Tamandua tetradactyla: one gene and its partners. The protein of the gene in region 2 interacts with the protein of the main gene of each other region in a pairwise test. Links are inferred from orthologs where the notes say so. Each region holds a gene or a part of one and is shown on either strand. Other genes may lie near its edges. The genes, in order: NELL2, HOXA1 and EGFL7.

The links.
Region 1: the proteins of HOXA1 (region 2) and NELL2 interact in binary tests that used the Homo sapiens proteins (3 or more experiments, as listed by UniProt). The link is inferred for Tamandua tetradactyla from reciprocal best matches to the Homo sapiens genes HOXA1 and NELL2.
Region 3: the proteins of HOXA1 (region 2) and EGFL7 interact in binary tests that used the Homo sapiens proteins (3 or more experiments, as listed by UniProt). The link is inferred for Tamandua tetradactyla from reciprocal best matches to the Homo sapiens genes HOXA1 and EGFL7.

The regions. Positions count from the first base shown.
Region 1 is NC_135333.1:104,680,277-104,686,588, forward strand, and holds the start of NELL2 (protein kinase C-binding protein NELL2), read right to left. Parts: upstream 3,368-6,312; 5' UTR 3,230-3,367; exon of another isoform or gene 3,110-3,229; intron 1-3,109. UniProt on the Homo sapiens protein: Plays multiple roles in neural tissues, regulates neuronal proliferation, survival, differentiation, polarization, as well as axon guidance and synaptic functions.
Region 2 is NC_135327.1:96,061,096-96,067,407, reverse strand, and holds HOXA1 (homeobox protein Hox-A1), read right to left. Parts: upstream 3,190-6,312; 5' UTR 3,132-3,189; coding exon 2,486-3,131; intron 2,049-2,485; coding exon 1,693-2,048; 3' UTR 517-1,692; downstream 1-516. UniProt on the Homo sapiens protein: Sequence-specific transcription factor. Regulates multiple developmental processes including brainstem, inner and outer ear, abducens nerve and cardiovascular development and morphogenesis as well as cognition and behavior.
Region 3 is NC_135328.1:126,215,898-126,222,209, reverse strand, and holds the start of EGFL7 (epidermal growth factor-like protein 7), read right to left. Parts: upstream 4,673-6,312; 5' UTR 4,655-4,672; coding exon 4,584-4,654; intron 4,523-4,583; exon of another isoform or gene 4,487-4,522; intron 1,344-4,486; exon of another isoform or gene 1,277-1,343; intron 1,270-1,276; exon of another isoform or gene 433-1,269; intron 245-432; coding exon 182-244; intron 1-181. UniProt on the Homo sapiens protein: Regulates vascular tubulogenesis in vivo. Inhibits platelet-derived growth factor (PDGF)-BB-induced smooth muscle cell migration and promotes endothelial cell adhesion to the extracellular matrix and angiogenesis.

The DNA of each region.
Region 1 (6,312 bases), on a different chromosome or scaffold from region 2:
TAGAATCCTATCAGGTGGCAAGTACTACCACTACTGTATTTGTAACTCCTTATCTCAGAATAGAATGTGTTGCTCACATTGGCTGATTAATTTGAGACAAAGATTGCCAACTCATTTTTCTCCCATTTTATGCTAACTTGATTCCTTAAGAATAGTGATCATGTTTCTTATCTCATTAAACCTAATATGTTCTAAAGGCCATAGTTAATTCTCTATGATCCATAATTGTTTTAAGTGCCTGAAAAGGCCCAATGTAAAATACATATTGCTCAGATGAGGAAGCCATATCTCACAAATACAGCCTCAGTACTCAGGGAAGGATTGGTATTGCGCCATCACCCTACCCCTGTCAGTGTCTGATACGGGAAATCTCTCTGCAGTAGAAGGGTTCCTATCTTCTACCCCACTACTTCAAAGGCTTTCGGACGTAGGATACAAAGAATTACAGCATTTCACAAATGGGAAGAAGGAACCGTAAATATATGTTGACATTATTAAGGCATCATGGAACCCCTCTTCTTCTATTGAACCCTTGCATGAACTCTCCAGATTATGCACTAAAACGTAGTTTCTGTATATTTCTAGTTTCACTTCTATGGCAGCAAATGCTGTATGATATTTTCTTATTTTTTTTTTAGTACTGGGCATGGACAAAAGTTGTTACATATTAAGTGATTTCAGAATAGTATGTGCACATAAAAAGGTTGAAAAATACACTAAAGATGAACTCTAAGCCTGTATTTCTTCAACTCCAATTATTCTTTGGCTTGCAATCTATCTTTAGCCCACACTCTTATAAATCACTAACGACAACTCTGGTATCCATTTCTGAGAAAACATCAGTTTCCTACATTTGCATTATTAAGAGTAGTTACAAATTATATATAAGTTATTATTATTACAATATAGAGTTTTATTTTTATATGTTTAGTATAACTAAATATAAGCAGATTTTTATACATTTGTAAGTCTCAACACAAATTTATAAATCAGGAAAAAATCCTTTGATAGACCACATATCTTAATTTTGGATTTTAATTCTCAATTTTCCAAATTCATTTTCCATCTCCTTGAAATTTCAACAACACTTAAATCATTTACCAGCCCTTCTTCCTGAAATTATCTCACCTAAATAAGAGATTTTTAGAATATTTCTTATTCCCCTATTATATTCTTCGCTACATCCAACATTAGTTCCTTATTTCTATTTAGTTCTTGAACTTTCAGCACCACTTAATGTCTCCTGTCCTAAAATTCTCTTACCCTGAATGTTTTTCTTCAACATTGTTTCTTTGGTTCCCTTACTCATTTCAAAAGCACATAATCCCCCAAAATCTGTACTTGGCCTTCTTTTTTTTCCTCTAAGGTTGATCTTCATTAGCCATTTGTCTGCTCTCATAATTTGAACTGCCATTCCTAAACAGAATATACCACAAACCCAAACAATTTTACAATCCTTTCCAACATCCAATCCCTTGCTGAACATATCCACCTGGATATCCCATGGTCACCTCGCACTCCTAATATCATGCTTATCTCCCTAGCCAAAACCAGTTCTCCTGATTTCCCTAATTCTAATTAAAGGAGCCACCAATCTCATGGTTTCCCAATTTAAAACCTCTATTTGTAATCCATCCTAGTCAGTTAAAAAGGTTAATATATTCTGCCTCTACCCTAGGTCTGACCGTCATTACCTCTTATTTACTTCAGCAATCATAATAGCTTCTTAATTGTCTCTCTCTCTCTAGTTTTTTCACCTTCCTATCTAAAATATTACTGCCAAATGAATCTCCCAAAACCTAATTTGATGACCATCTTCATTCAGAATCCCTTAACAGCATCTTACTGTATATCAGAATAAAGTCAAACTATCTAACTTGCCATCTAAGCCCCTGCACGCTGTTTGTACCTCTCTAATGAAACATATCTTACAATAGAGTTATACCTCCTAGATTCTAAAATAGAAATGAGAAAATCATGAATAATCAAAATTACCCTGCAAAGTCCTCCAACAAGTACTCCCCTGGAGACCATGAGTTGATTCAGCACAGCCTGTTTTTCCCTCATTAAATGAAACAGATTCCTGTTTCTTTGGTTAAGCACCAGTTGAAGCAGTTGGAAGATCCATTTTACATGAAAAAAATGCATATATGCATATCTCTAAAAATTAGAATCACACTCAGCTCAGTAATATGCTTATGCTTGAGAGGGCCCCTGAACAGAGACAAACTGAGGGAACCACACAGTCACATCTCGCCTCATGCTTACTCCAAGCAACCACTGAAAGGAATGATGAGCAGTACTAACAGAACTATTTAAATTGTAATTTTTGTCTCCCTTTTTTATTTCTGGGGTTGTTAGTTTACTTTTGTTTTGCTGAGATGATGGGATTCCACTGTTAATTTGTCTTCTTTAAAGGATAGTTACTTGTCTTTGCTTCTCCCCCTGAACTTTGAGAACAGGAATCATGTCACATTCCTATTTGTATCTTCTACAGCACTTAACATTGTACTGAGTCACCTTGTAAATATTTTATCAACAAATGAGTTTTAGTAATTGATTTGTTTGTAATAGTTAAGTGGGTAACTGGATGATTTTTAACAGGATATGCCTAGTGGAAATTATTTCCTATTTCATTAAGAAATTGTATCTTTTTCCATGAATACAAAGTATTTTCTATTGCAATTTTATAAAAGCGGCTTTTTTTTTTCCAAAATAAATTGGTCTATTTTAAATACAATGAGAAAATGACATCAGTACATTCTAGTGGAGACAGTGAAATAGATAAAGTTGCTATCTACATTTGATAACCAAAATAAATCTGTTAAAATATATGTATGTTTAAATACACTCATATATTTACACTCAAAAAAATAAAAATAATCTAGAGTTATGTTATTAAAGAATAGGGAAAAACTAATGAAATATGTCATCATAATTACATTGCAGTCATGAAAAACAAGCTAATGGCATTATGCATTAAACTATGCATGGTTTACCAATATTATTTAAATATATCCTATAAATATAACTAGAAACATCCCAGAAAATCATAATTATATTACCCCATGTAACCTAAAAGTGTTACTAGCATTAGTTAAATATTTACCTTGGGAAAGTATAAGATATCCAGGGATGCTTCTGGGAGTCAATTTAAATAAAACACCCTGTGCATTTTGAGGGACATACAAAAATAAATTTGAGATTTCCTGCCACGTCCTCTAGATACCTGTATTAGATTCTTCCCGAAATTTAGTGATAGAATCTACCCTGCAGCATCCGAAAGAGCACCCTTGGCAGGTCTGAGAAGTCATCTTGAGTTGAGGCAGGGCCAGTGGACATGCCCCAGAGGCACCTAAAGGGACACTATAAGGGTGACTCTAGGGGTGTCACACAGCCTTGCTTCCCTGGGCAACACTGGCTGGGCTTTGAGAATGTTCCTAGGAACGCTGAGCTTCCTCGTGACCACTAGAGGGCTCCAGGCGATCGCTGCTGCAGTCTGCCCCCTGGGGGCCCTACTAGGGAACAGTTCCATGCATGGGAGCAAGTTCACGTTCCGAACACCAGCCAGCACCCAGCACCCAGCGCTGAGGCTAAAAGCGAGACTCTGAGGATGTAGGGCATAGACACCGGTGAAGATACCTCTTGCGTCATCGATGCTCGACATGCTTAGCAGAGAAATATCTTCCTACCAAGAGGTTTTTAGCTTTTCATGCGGAAGAAGTATGTTGCCCTGAAAGAAACAAGTTACAGATAAGAATGAGAAAACAGTACAGCATGTACAAGAGTTGAGATCAAACAGACTTGAGTTGAAATTCTAGAACTTCCTTTTACTAGCATGAGGTGATGAGTAAATAAATAATAGATTTAATCCCTCTAAGTTTTAGCTTCCTTATCTGTAGAATGTAAAGTGCTTGGTATAAATAGTGTTCCAAACATATAATGTATTAAATAAAAGGAAGTTGTACTTGTTATTTTGGGTACTTTTATATAACCTAATACAGTTGGAATCTCTGTGACTCTGGGTAGTATCATTGAGTGTTGTCCCCCAAAACTTTAACAAAATCTGACATCTCTGTCAATATCCACCCAGATTCCAGGCCAGTAAAAGCCATACCTGGTATGTCCTGCTGGCAATCTTCCTAACCTCACCAGGGGTAGCCAGTGAACTTTCTTCTGCATGCTTGTTATCTTTGGTTCCCAAGCGGAAGAGCGCCTCATCCTGAATTAGTTTCTAGAATCAGCATGGTGGGGAGGAGATGTAGTCAAGAGAGGCCAATGGACCTAGCAAACCCTGGCCGGTCCCCTTCCCTGGTGATGGTCTTTGCTTAGAGGCTCCCTCTGTGAAACATCCCACCATCAGGCACCAATGGCTCCCTGCTCGACAACTCCAATTCCACCTGTTTTAGTTTCTTTGTTGTTAAAGCAAATGCCATGCAATAGGCTGGCCTAAACAATGGGAATTTATTGGCTCACGATTTTAAGTCTTCTAGGAAAATCCAAATCAAGCATCATCAAGGCAATGCTTTCTTCCCAAAGACGAGTATTCTGGGGCTGGCTGCCAGTGCTCCTTGTTCCTGGGCTCCTCTGTCAAATGGCAATGAACATGATGCCTCTCTTGGCCTTCCCTTCTCTTCTGCATTCCATTGACTTCCAGCTTCCAGCTTCCTGCTTCCTGCGGCTTTCTCTCTGTCCATCCGACTTCCATTCTGCTTACAAACGACTGAAGTAATAGGATTAAACCCATCCTGATTGAGTTGAGCCACGTGTCAACTGACCTCACCAAAAGGGTCCAACTTACAGTGGTTTTATACCAACAGGAATGAAGTAAGTTTAAGAGCTTTTTTTTTCCTTGAGTACATACATAGCTCCAAACCATCTGACACAAGACTCAGCTACCACCAGGAGTTTCCCCTGTCCAGTTTGTCTGTGCATTAGACTCCTTGGACACTGCATTTAAATTGCATTATATCCTCAGCCTAGGTTTTAAAGTTTAAAGTCAGTTTTCCCCAGCCCTCACCCCACAAATATCCCCCATGTTAATTACATTCTTTTCTCCCTGACAGCTCTCAAGAGACCACAAAGTTTGGGCTGCATTTTTCTTTTATAAGAAAAGAGGAAGGCTCAAGTTACTGTCTGGAGACCCTGAACTAGCACTCAGATTCTTAATGGAGGATGGGGCTATAGAAATAGGATCACCCTAAGAGATGTTTCTGTCAATTTTTCCATTAGTTTCTGTTAATTATATTTTTACAAAGGAAAGCATCCAGGATACACAGAGATAACTATTAAAAGAGAGTTCTCCATCCTTTAATCAAGAAAATAGTTAATGCACAATTTATAACTAATAGAGTAGCTTTTGTCTAGTCTCTTTATAGCAGGCCATGTGCTTGGAGTTCAGAGTTGAGGTTTTCCCCCCATTCTTTTTTCCCCTTGTAATGATGATGGATTTCCACTGACCCATCTGTTTTCTCCTTTGGAATCCCTACTGGCCTAGGACATGTATTTCCAGGATAGCAAGATGGGAGGAATTCATTAGTAGTTGAAGAATAAATTGCAAGTGATACTAAGTGGTTCATACACATATTACACTAGAATTTACACCTCATTAAAAAGTGTCATAATAGATTGACACTAATACCCATCTTAAAGAATTATAGAATCTTCTCATTTCCTGTCCAGACTCTGTTTAGCATTCTACCATTTCTATTTCTTGATTTGTAAATTAATGAATTGGTTTAGGAAGAAAAATTAATTCATTTGACTGAACATTTATAAATATTGCTGTGAGAATGTTGTAGTGGTGCATTCTGTCCCATGAACTCAACCACTGTCTCTAACCATATGAGAAATAGCTTAGAATTTGCTGTACCAGTCAATTATAAAAATTAATCTTTGAGCCAGTTTGAATTAAATACCAAAAGATTCAATGTGAGAAAAGGCAAAAGAATTTTTTTTCCAGATCCACATTATAAAGCTACAGTTATGTAAAGTATTTTTCTAGGAGTTTATTTTTTTTGAAGAGTCACTGTCATCAAGTTTTGATATAAAATATTTCTGGCACACAATTTAGAAAAGCAACAGCTATTAGATGCCCAAAATGCCTTTCCCATAGATGTTTTAATAACAGGATAATGTTAATGTGCTTCTCTCTGCCTCCTCAAAAAATTAGGTAGCTCAAGGTGTGTTTGTTCATTCTTATGAATGTATTTCCCTATTCTGTCAAAAAGAGAAGCATAATTCAATTGAAGTGCATCAGAACTGTGCTTCCTTATGTGATATTATGTGATAAGATGTAAAAAAAAAAAATGA
Region 2 (6,312 bases):
GAAGGAAAGACGGGTGGAGTGAGGGCTCCATCCTCACAACAGCTTTATACTGGAGCTAATTAAATGAGAATCTGTTCGCTCTAGGTTCACTGATGTGAGGAAAGACTGACTGAAGACAGTTTCAGCTTTTGAAGAGAGGTTCTGTTTATATATATGTCAACATTCAGTTGGAGGTGAAAAGGTTAGCACTTGACCCAGGAAGTATCCATGATTGTTTCAGCAATAGCTCTTCTTCATAAATTTCCTCACCGTTCATTTTTTCCATTATAAATGTCAATTATTATAAAGAAGCTGTTGTTATTTTAAAGAAAATCAAGCTATTAAATAACATTGGTAAGGTGTCATACCAGAATCTGGTGAAATTAAAGTCGTGAAGAAGTTTCAGCTACATGAAAATGGAGGGTATTCACTTTTATGCAAGAAAAGGCCCACTTGGAAAATTCATATCATTCTTTCTCCCCATCCCCAAATGAAATAGACAACTTCGTAGGAATCAACAAATTGTATCCCAGTCAAATACACTGACATTTAAGCATACCTGAAATTGAATATATTTATTACAGACATCTTAAGACCCGTAAACTCTGCTCCGGATCACATCACTCCAGGATCTCAGAGCTAGTCATGATTGTACAGAAAATGGGAAATCAAAGGCTCACCAAGGATAACTGATAGAACTCAGTGTGGTACTTCAGAGACATCAAAACATTGTGCGACATGCAAAAGACTATTCACCAATCACACAAAATATACATTCATTGTGCCATCCATCACATTAACAATTGAGCTGAAAATACATCATATCCAGCTACAGTAACTGTGGAAGGAAGAAGCTGGTTTGAATAATGCCTTTAGGTTCAGAATAATCCAGCACAAATTTTTAATGGAAAGTAACCAGAGAAGCAAGAAAAAAGGGGATGGGGAAAAATTTAATACAGGAAGCCAGGTTTGTGAACCTTGTGCTCTACAGGCCTTCTTAGCTCACTGAAAGAACAAATCAAGGCTATCCTCTGAGGCATCCGATTGGGTTTCAATAAGGAAATTTATTCTTTCACCTATAATCACATATAAAATTGTAGGAGCCATGAGAGTTTGCCCACCCTGTTTGAGTCAATTAAACTAAACTTTCCTAGAAAATCTGTATAAAGATAAATCTCTCAGTCAAAGTATTTACAAAGCCAACTTATACATGAAACTGAATTAAATTAAGGAATGAATGAATTGTGTAAACACACTCATAGTGCATCTATTCTTCATGAGCTCCTGAACTCTTTCCTGTCTTTCTATTCTACTTTTAAGATCAGAGTAGGGGACAACTGTAAAGATACAGATTGATAAAAGATGAGAAGCCTCTCCCTGATATGTTTCTGCTGGCAAAGGGGTCTATTCTCCAAAGGACATCTGGAAAGGAATAGTAGGTTCCTGGAAATACCCTTAAAAGGCAGGAAGGGGTTGTAGGGACCATCAGAAAATTGATGCTGGCACCCAATCTGGATTAAGGAGTAAATCTCCCACCAGGTCTGGTCCAGAACTCTCTGGAAACACATTAACTCGGCCAGGAGTTCCCAGATAGGATCAGAAAGGAAGAGAGAGACTGTCAATGGAAAGGAAGATAAGCTAAGAATGTGCTTTGGGTAAGAAGTCCCAGCCTGAGAAGCCTGGACTGTGGAGCCTTGGGCTGGGGTGGCCTCCTCAGTGAGAGGTGGTCAGGGTGTCTGAGGTAGAAGATCCTGGGGAGGGAACGCAGGGAGAGGAGCTGGACTTCTCTGAGGATTCCTCGGCCTTTTCATCGCTTACGGGCGGAGTAGCCGGAGAGATGGGCAGAAGCCCTTCCTTCTCTCGCTTCTTCTGCTTCATTCGGCGGTTCTGGAACCAGATCTTCACCTGGGTCTCGTTGAGCTGCAGGGACGCAGCGATCTCCACCCTGCGGGCACGCGTCAGATACTTGTTGAAGTGGAACTCCTTCTCCAGCTCCGTCAGTTGCTTGGTGGTGAAGTTGGTGCGCACCGCATTGGGTTGACCCACATAGCCATATTCTCCAACTTTTCCTGGAGACAGAGTAGGAATTGGTGAGGGAAAAAGGTAAAAATTTAAAAATTGATATGAGGGACATTTATCCCCTACAGGCTTTAGAGCAAAGGGAGATCAAGAACTTCTCAGCACAAATCAGGCTACGAAGGGTGAGTGATGAAGTGTAAAGACGTGGTCAGACGAGTGATTAATGAAGCCTAGAGATATTAGCAAAATACATCCCCTCCCCTTCCTACTTACAAAACCTCTAAAACTCAGCCCACTTGGAAACACGTGTCTCAGAGCCTTCTTTGCCCCAAAACATCTGGGCAATCTCCCCATACCCTACAACATCTGTCGGAAGCAAGAACTTAAAAAAAAAAATCATTAGGAATTTTCCTTGCAAACTAAGCATACCAGCTTCTTCCAGTATCATCAAAGAGCATCCACCGGCCAGCAGTAGACGGGGACTGACCTGTTTTGGGAGGGTTTCTTTTGACTTTCATCCAGTCAAAGGTCTGCGCTGGAGAAGATGTCTCCGACGCAGGAGAGCGACAGGCTTCTTGGCTGGCGTGGAGAGGGGACAAGGAGTTATTATACGTGGCCAGGGCCAGGTTCTGATGCTCTTGTCCATATGAGTGATGGATGTACTGAGGCGAGCCCACCGTGCCCCCGGCATAACCCTGGTGGTGGTGGTGATGCTGGACCATGGGAGATGAGAGATTTCCAGAGTAAACAGCGGGAGCGCACGGGGGGTACCCACCACTTACTTCTGCTTCCTGATTTAACGCGTAGGGACTGTAAGGCGCGCCGAAGTTCTGAGCGCCGTAGCCTGGGCCACAACTCGAGTGGGAGTAGGACACCCCCAGATTCCCAGGAGTCTGGTATGTGGCTGGCTGGGAGTGGTGATGGTGGAGGTGATGGTGGGGGGGAGGGCTGATCTGCACACCCCTCCCCACTAGGAAGCGGTCGTCGCCGCCGCAGCTGTTGGCACTGACTGCGCACGACTGGAAAGTTGTAATCCCATGGTCGGAAGGGTAGGCTAGCGCTGAGCAGGTCCCGGAGTCGCCTCCGCTGAGAATGGGGTATTCCAGGAAGGAGCTCATTCTTGCATTGTCCATCTGTCACTGAGTGACCAGGTCCTGCGAAGCCCTGGGTGACCGTGCCAACTTTCTCACTTCCTCCATGGGGTCGAAGAAGAAAAATGATATGAATGTACAGTGCGCAAGACAGGGGGCGGAGGGCGGAGGGCTCTAGGGAGGGGCACGTGACTGTGCCAGCCAATCGCTGAGCCCCCTGCGAAAGTTTGCCGACTCCCGCGGTGATGGATCACTGTTTCAGTGGCATTTAAATCCCCGGCGCTCCTCCGTCTAGGTGACGCGCAGTCGCCCCCCTAGGCAGCCCAGGCCGTGGCAGTAGCTGCGGCGGCTGCTACGACTGATTCCGAGCACTGGGGCGAAGGGGAGGAGAGGCTGCTTTCCACGCGCGCTCAACTCCGCTCGGCCCCCGCCCCTGCGGGAAGTAGGGGCTGAGGGCATCCCCCACCAGCGTTCCCCTCTCAGCTGTGTACAGAAAGATGAACTGGCGAAAGGTGAGAAGGGAAGAGGGCTCTCGGCTCTCTCGGGTGAGGGATAAAGCGGCCGGAACTGTCTGGGCGGAACAGAAAGGGTAGGAAACAAGACCTGCGTAAGCCCCAGTTTCCCGGATCGCTTTTACTGCACTGTCCGTGCTCCGGGACCCTGGGGCGGTAAGGAATGCAGAAAATGGTGGTGGAGAGCGAGGCTGGGCCACCAGCTCTCCGAGCCGAGAAGGAAGTGCGCGGAGGACTGACTGAGAGGAATCCCGGATGGGTGTGGAGCGGCGAGCTCAAGAAAAGAAAATTCCCTTTTCCTAGGAGGGTCTCTGATGCTCCTTTTCCGCCCTACACCGTTGCCATTAGCATGGCAATGAGGAGCTTATGTAATTCGACGCCCCGGGGCGGGTGAGCCCTTGCAGCAGAGCTTGTCAGCAAAGGCCTGGGATGGCCGGACTCTTCTCCACCCTCTCTCTCTCTCTCTCCTCGTTCCCGCCCCTTTCTCCTTCCCACTCAGCTTTGCTCCGGGAGCCCTTCGGGATCCCGAGCAACTCGGCCGCTGGATTTTGAGGGGTAGGAGGCGGGGGAGAGAGATGACGCTAGCGGACGTGGCCTGCGTAGGGGCCGAACCGCGCGCTGCAGACCATCTGCCGGCTCCCCAGGACCCAGGAGCCTGCGCGCTCCGGGTGGGGCCTCGAAGGGCCAGACCACAGCTCCAACAAAGTGTGCTCAGCTCTCCTCTCTCCTTCGTTTCTCTCTTTCTGGAGAGGGGATTTACGAGTAGGAGATCCTCCTCCAACACCCCCCCCCATACACACACACACACACACACACACACACACACACACACTAGATTCGGTTGCATTGCATGTCTGGAGTGGGGGTGGGGGCTAGCAGGTGGGAGGGGTGGTGGACAGATGGCTGATGGTGGACACTAGACACTTTCCTCTTCCCCAACGATACCTCCTCCCCTTTCCAACTTACTGTGTAGCTGCCTATGTGAGTCAAGTGTTTCCCCAGAGAGGCACGTGCAAATCTGAGCATCATCCCAAGCCAGAGGTCCTGGTCTTCATCACACTTATCCTACCCTGATACTGATGGTGTCGTTAATTGCTATTTACTATTAGGTTTCGAGTCAACCACGGGCTTGTAGAGAGAAAAGTCCAGAGGCAGAGAATTGATGCATGCTTAGGTAGCAGAAATCAGCCAAGAAGCTTTGCAGCCACTGTTCTATAGATTTTACTCTGATGGTGTTTACAACATTGAATCTGACAGATGAAAATTATTATGAGGACTGTATGTGGGTTTGGGATTCCTACTTCTTGCCTACCTCCCCTCCCCCAGTTAGAACAACAATGTTTTGCTTGAGGCAGGCATATTTCAAATGTGTTAGGCACCCTTTCAGGCCCCTGTGTTCTGTTCTCCAAATATAAAGTCTCCCCCCAAATCTGTCATCTCAGAAGGGAAAACCCTTGCAGACCTTTAACGCTGGACTCCCTCAGCAGCAGCAAAAAAAAAAAAAAAATGGGTTCCCCAAACACTTCCTTTGGAATGGTATTTTTCTGTGAACTTTGACCCATCCTCAAACTTGGTTTAAGTGGGAGCACGTACAGAAAAGGTCACTACTGCCTCAGTTCCAGCTTCTGGAGAAGGGAAAAGGCAAGACGACTCGCCTGGAAGCGGCTTCCTTGGGAGCGCCAGGCCTGCAGCGGAATAGGAGGAGAAGGGATCCTGTGGGGGTGGGGCTGAGGTGGAGAGTATGAGCTGGCAGTGTGGGTGATCTACTCTCGGAGCCAAAGCTCATCCGTACGTTCTCCCCCCTTGCCTTATTCCTATACCTTTGTTGGCCTCCTCCGCCGGGGTTTGCGCGACCCCCCTGGGCCGCAGGGCGTCCTCCACAAAGCCGCCACCGGCCTCAGCCTTGTCGCCTCCTCTGCTAGCTCCCGGCCTCCGCACTCCTCTCCCTCCACCTCCCTTCTCTCCTGGGTTCCTTACTAAGACAGCCTGGGTGGGGAGGTTTTCTTGGTGTCAAAAGCATGCACTCGCACAACACACAGGTCCGCAGGCACTCGGGCCGGCTCCCGTCTGTCTCCGCGCACAGCTAGCGGCAGGCCCGGCTCTCGCAACCTTGCGGGCTCCGCCTGAGAGCGTCCGGGACCGCAGCTCTCCCGCGCTGCTCACAAAGGCAGCCTCCTCTGACTCGAGCCGGTAGGCTTCCGTAGTTCGATTCCTTCCCAATCCCACCCCCACCCCACCCCACCCCCCACTAAGAAATTCTGGGGCCGATTAGTCGGTGAAGGAGATGCTTGGCGGTCTGGGCACACAGGCCCGCGCCCCACCACACAAGCTAAAGTGTCTAAACGCCCAGAGCAAAAGGATGAAAAGTCTAGCTTGGTCACGATTAAAATAATCGCCTGCAAGCGGCTCGCTGGGCTCAAAGCGCCTCTTTCAAAGCTTTTCTACTAGAAAGGGAAGGAGCCAGGAGGAGACAAAACGCCGCCGAGTCCCGGAGCTGTTCATGGCATCTGCGGCTCAGCCAAGCTGTTGTTTTAAAAGAGCAATAAAAATGAATTATGACTAAACGCCTTCTAACTTAATGCGTTCGGACGGGAATCCCCGGCAACTACGTAAGAGGATTTTTATTTGTGCATGTGTTCCTGCAATTGATCTCTTTGATGACATTCTCATTCATAGAAAGCGTTTGATTTATGAGTGCAGGACAAATCGCA
Region 3 (6,312 bases), on a different chromosome or scaffold from region 2:
GACCCCCACACGGGATTACTGGGAGGCAGGGCCTGCGCACCCTGGCAGTTTTTGCCTTCGGCCCCAAGACCCCATGGCGCACCTGTGCGTGTGTGTGCCCACGTGTGTGTGCGCATGTGTGAGAGTGAGACCCAGACCCCCTCCTGCTACCCAGAGCCTCCTGGGCTTTCTGGGGTCTCACCTGGTGTGGAGGTCTCCATCATCCACCAGACATGGCGCCAACTGTCCTTCTGGGCACTGGGGGCTGCGGGTCAGAGAGAGGATGAGGGGTAGGGCCGCCGCAGGCCTCAGCCCGCAGACTCTACCCCATGCTGCCCGATGGCCCAAGCCGAGTCACTGCCCCCCATCTGCCCTGGAAGCAGGTACCAGCCACAGCTTGCAGCTCCGCTGCGAGCTGGCATGGCCTTCCCATCTGTAAAATGGGGCTCCCACCTCTCGGGCTGCTGCAGAGAATGGGAGATTCGGGGATAGCAGCAGCCTCTGCTTTCTCATCTGAGCCATGGGCCGTCTTTCCTGCAGGATGCCCTGGGGTGGGCATATGCCAGGTGGGGGAGGCCCCCCCTTAGCCTCCGCCATTCTTGGGGGGAGCTGTGGAGAGGGAGGACAATGGGCCCCTCTAGGGTTCCAGGTGAACCTGATAAAATCACCCATTTGGCTAGGCCTGCCCCCTCCCCCGAAATTATCCCTGAGCCCCCAAAGTCAGTAGGTGAGAGGTGGGGGCTGCTCGTCCTCTGTGTCAGTGCCCCCGACATGGGGCTTATCTGGGCTGCAGATTTGTCTTTGGGGGTACTCCTTAGGTTGACCTCCTCCCCGAACCTGCCTTGGGAGCCCTTGCCCATTGCTTGGGGAGAGCTAAGGAGACGCCCCCTGCCCTTGGGACACCCCGGGGCTCAGCAAAGGAGGATGGTGGGACATCATCTCCCCACAGAGGGCCCAGTTATGCACATTGTGCTGCCAACTTCCTGGGCACCTGCCTCTTGAGGCCTCTCCGGGACATAAGGGGGTGCCGAGCTTGGGGGTGGGGTATCGGGTGGGGTATCAGCCGCTGGGCAGCCAAGTGCTGGGGTCAGGACACCAAACACCCCCAACCCCACCCCACCCCCAGCTGGTGACCTAGCCAAGTGGTCCTGGTGGTCTCTTCTATGCCAGGGGGGTGGGGAGGGTGGCACCAAAATGGGGAGGCCGACGTGGCCCATGCAGGCACCACCAAGGCCAGGATGAAGCTCATGGGCAGCTCAGAGCCTCTCCCACCCGCCCAAGCATGTCCCTGCCATACCTGACACTGCCCAGGCCCTGGCTCGGCCATGCCTGCCGCCGCCATCTCTCGTGGCCAGGGTGGACCCTGCCCCTCACCAGGGCCTGGTTCCCGCTGGCCCGGCCTGCCTGCTCGAGGCTGCATCCCGGCTGCTCCAGCCAGCGGCTAGGGCAGGGGGTTCCTCCCGGGGCGAGGAAGGGCGGCTTTTTATGCTCCGTCCCGTGTAAATCGGGATTGGGATGGGCCCTTCCCGGCCGGACTTCCTGTGTGTGTTCTCCGCTGATAACAGGGATCCGTCAGCAGAACAAACAGGAGGCAGAGGGGCGGGTTGGGGGGCCGGTGAGGGAGGGGGTGGCTGGCAGCGCTCTGGGGTAGGGGGAGGTAGCTGTCCCCTGGGACTGCAGAGTTGCAATCTCAAATCAGCCAGAGCTAGGTTTGTGCTTAGCTGCAACTTAGCTGGTGATATTGGGTGACCTCCCCCATCCCATTTACAGTGTGTCGGGGGGACATGACACCCAGGCCCCCTCCCCGCCCCCCGCAGGACCCATAAAGTCGGTGGGACCTCAGGCTGCATTCGTGTAGCTCAATGGAAGGGGCTTCCCACATTTGGCCACAGGCCATTCTCCAGGGGACGCTGGGCTCTTCCCCCACACCTGCCTGCACCTCCAGATGGGTGAGGGCTCAAGATGTGAACCTCAAGGGGCTCCTGGCCCCAGGAAGGTTCCAGCCACAGCCAGAGCCTTGGCCAGTGGAGGACTTGGCAGGACCCCGCTGGAAGGGATTTGGGGATGGGCAGGGCAGACTGAGTGGTCTGAGCCCAGCTTGCTCTATAGGTCCCTGGGGCCCAGAGCAGACCAGCTGGGGTGGCAGGTGCCAAAGGTGGACAGACTTCGGCTCTGAGACACGGGCCTTTGCTAGGAATCTGAGCTGTTTCCCTGTGGACAGGGCTGTCCGGAGGGGCAATGAGCTCCCTGTCCTCGGGCGTGTGCAAGAGAAGGCCAAAAGACCCAAGCTGCCCTTCCCAGGGGTCCTCCAGGCTGATGGCACCCCCGGACCGGAAGACAAAGCATGTTCCAGGTCCCTCTTTCCCCCTCCCCCAGCCTCTTTCCTTTGCCTCCAGCAGCCAGAGGGGTGGGGAGGAAGAAGGAACAGGAGAGACTTTAGGTCCCAAAGAGGGTGCCACAAGGTCTGATCTCAGTTTCCCCATTTAGGTGGCAATGGGGTAGTTGCTATAAGGGTGGGCCTTGGGTGGCCCTCACACAGCAGGCGTGGGTGAGTGGTGCCTGGTCCCAGAGAGAGCACTTGTCCCAGACCACACCGCTGGCTGCTGGTGCCTGGAGCGAGGGCGGCTTTCCTTGGAGAGAAGCCTCACCGCAGGGTCCTCCCCTGCGCCCCTGCTGCCAAGGGCACCCTTCCCCACCATTCTTCCTGGCCCCGTACATCTCCGTGGGCCCCCACCTCCTTCCAGCCCCACCCGGCTGGACGTCTCAGGCCTCGAGGGTGGCTCGAACCTTGGAAGGTTCCCCGCTGGAATGCTGAGGCAAGGACGGAACTGTCCCCCCACCCCACCCTGCCGTGCTACCCACTTCCCTCCCCACCCCCATGGCTGTGCCAGGATCTATTGCCAATGCCCGGGTGAGGGCAGGGAGCCGGCAGGCCTGGGGCTCACGGCAGGTCCTGCCTCTTAGGCCCTGGGCCACTTCTCTCCCAGCCTCAATGTCCCCCTCTCCTCAGAAGGGACAATGGAGGTGACTGGGAGGTTTGGTTGGTTCACGGATACCCCTGGCACTCAGGCACTGCCATCTGAGCGAGGGCGCCAAGGGTGGGGGCTCAGGTGTGACCCCCACACCCCATCTCTTCCCAGCCAGCCCACTCAGGGGATCCAGCCCTCACCCCTCCTGGACACACCCTCGGCAGGGTCCCCCCTTGCCTAGCTTGACCCCCCTCACTCCCCTACCTGGGGACTTTGCAGTCAGGGGAGCAGGACGTCCTGCCAGGGGCTTTCAGCCAGGCCGCCCAGGTCACTCCTTCCCAGACTCCGGGCCCAGGATACACTTTTGTCCCCCAGGTGAGAAACCAGCAAAGGGCAGGGCACGTGGCATCCGCTCTGGACAGGTGGTGGGAGCAGGGCTGCCCAGGGAAGCCGTGGGCAGAGCTGGGAGGGGGCCAGATCCTGTAGGAGGGCCCCTTCTCTCAGCCCTTCTTTCCTCAATGAACACCCCAATTTCTAATGTCCCCAAACCGGGGACAGCGCCCCAGTCTTCAGACTGGTCCCTTGTCTGGGGAGGCACCAAGGGTTGGGAGTAGGTAATTAGCCAAATACCTGCCTTGGCTAATGGGTCACTCTGCCTCTGACCGGTGTGCGTGCTGGGGAACTTTCTGGAAATGATGCCACAGAGCCCAGAAGTAAATGGAAGGGTGGGGTTTCAAGTGTGGAAAGTGAGGAGCAGCCCTGCAAGGAGCCCCCCACGTAAACCTACCCCCAGCCCCTCCCTCCCGGGCCAAGACCAGAACCGAGCCCAAGGAGAAGAGTGGGCTCTGGGCCCCCGCCTTGTCCCCTAGCATATCCCCCTTGCAACCCAGCAGGTCCCCTCTGAAGCTGAGGTGGGCCAGGAACGGGTGCTGGCTGGCCACCTGCTTACACTGGTTCTGGTTGGGCTGGGTGTCCAGAGAAGGGCTAGGGGCCCTTTTTGCCTGGGCAGCCCATCCCCTGGGGCGGTGCTGCAGTGGGTGGAGCTTGGGGTCTGGGGGGACTCAGTGTGGGGCAGGCTGTGTACCCCCTCCCATCCTTAGGGCTGCACCCCCAGGAAGCTGTTGGGCACCTCAGCCTCTTCCCTCCTTGATAGCATCTGTTTAGGGTCATCCAACACATTCTGCCTGCAGTGAATCATTTTTTTAAAAGGGGGCAGTGGGGGCTCCTGCCCAGGCCTGCACCCCCACATCTGCGCCCCCTCTCCAGCTTCACTGCACAGACCAGCTCAGAGCTAGAGGCCAGGAGGGACTGGCTGGTGTTCTCCAGATGCTCCGCATGTCCGCCTGGGCTGCTCGGGGGCCTCAGAGCAGAGGCCACCCGGCTGGGCTTGGCCATCTGGGTCCAGCTTTGCCTCCAAGTTGCTCAGATCCCCCCTGCCGCCCCCCCACCATCCCTTGTCGCTGCAGGGCTGGATCCAGAGCGGCCCTTCCCGCCTGGGCTTGAATGGGGGGTGCGGGCAGTGAGGGAGGCTGCCTTACCTTCCTGGAGCACACTGGTCAGCGGCGGGGCGGGGTGGGGACTGCCAGAGCTTCCCAGTCCCACCAGGCCCTCCGGGGACCCTCCAGAGACCCTCACCTCTGAGTGTCTGGGCTCTGCGGCCCGGGGAGAGAGCGGGCCGAGTCCTCAGCAGAGACCAGAGTGGGCATCACAGGCAGCCGCGAGGCCGGGGGGCATGGGGCGTGCGCGCAGGGCTGCAGGAAGGAAAGACAAGAAGGCAGCGCAGGGGAGAGATGGGGCTTCCTGTTCACCCCCGCACTGGCCGCGGGGATGGGACGGTTCTGTCGGGCGGCGGGCCGAGCACTGCACCAAAGGATGCGCTGGGCCCAGTGGCCGTCCCTGGTGGGGCTGGGGGGAGGCGGCCGGGCACAGGTGCCTGTGGGCCAGGTGGCCTCTGTACACCTGAGTGGGCCCCATGCCCGGGGTGGGGTGGGGGAGAGGCTTACATGGTGATGTGCAGGGGTCCCAGAGGGCAGCGGGCCGGCCGGGGCCCTCCCCCTCCCTCCTTCCCTGTTTCCCTTCCTCCCTGTGTTCCCTCCCCCACACGCTGTTCCCAGATCCCTGCACTGTGTGTGTGGAAAGCACCCCATGCTGGGCCCTGTGGTCACCCCTGGCACCCAGCCCCCCACGGAACACCTTTATTCTGAGAATTTTCCATTTTCAGATGAAGGTCGGAGGAGGGGACTGGTGTCACATGTCCATAGTCACCGGCCGGGAAATGGGGGCAAAGGGACATGGAGCCCAGGGTGTCTGGCTGGCCCTTCTTCCTCCCGCTCCGTGGCCTCTGTCCCTCGGGGACACCCACTCGGCCACAGCCCCCTCCCTGGGGTCTGTCCCGCACTGCCCCAGCCAGGGCCGCACATTGGGGTCCTCAGCGAGCCCCCAGAGCTCTGTCCCCAGAACTTGCTGGAGTTGCCCCTTCCCTCCCCGCCCCTGTCCCCGCCTGTCTCGGGCACCACGGGCCAAGGCCCCTGTCTCCAGGCCTCGCAGCCTTGCCCACCCCTGCCAGCCTGCCCCCAGGACAGAGTCTGGCACCCGGGAGGAGCCGAAAAAGAAGGACCTTGTGGACACCCCCAGACGTACAGATGGAGGGCAGACTTCCATCATGGCAGATGTCCGCAGGGCAAGCCGCCCACCCCAGGACAGCACCTCGGCCAAGAGACAGCCCTGGGGGTGACCCTCTCTGACATCCAGCAGCCGGACATGGTTTTGCCCACTTGGGGTCTCAGATCAGTGGACTCCAGCTCCTTCTGCCCCGTGGGGGATTCTGTTTGGAAGACCCTCTGGGGCTGCGGCTGTTGGTCAGTCCTGCTGCAGGTGTGGGTTCAGGGGCGGCTGCTTGTCTCTGTCCCAGGCACATGCCCCCAGCCCCACTCCTGGGTGGGAGGTTGGCGGTCAGCGGGAGTGGCCCATGGCCGTGCAGTGCTGCCGCTGTGCCCCACACCCTCGCCAGCACTTCGTAGTGTTGCTGTTTTCATTTTAGCCTCCCTTGTGGAGTCCCCGCATCATCATCGTCATTATTATTATTATTATTATTATGGTTTTTATAAAGGGAATTTATTAAGTTACAAATTTGAATTTCTAAGGCCGTTAGAATGTTCAAACTAAGGCATCCAGAGAAAGATTCTTTGACTCAAGAAAGGCTGGTCTGGGAGGGCACATGGCTGGCGTCTGCTGCTCCCTTAGCTTCTGGTTTCAAACAGCTTCCCGGGGACATTTTCTTTCTTCAGCTCTTTCCACATGATTCCCTCTTTTAAAATTTTTTTTATTAACTTTTGAATTTTTTTAAAAAATACAACAACAGACA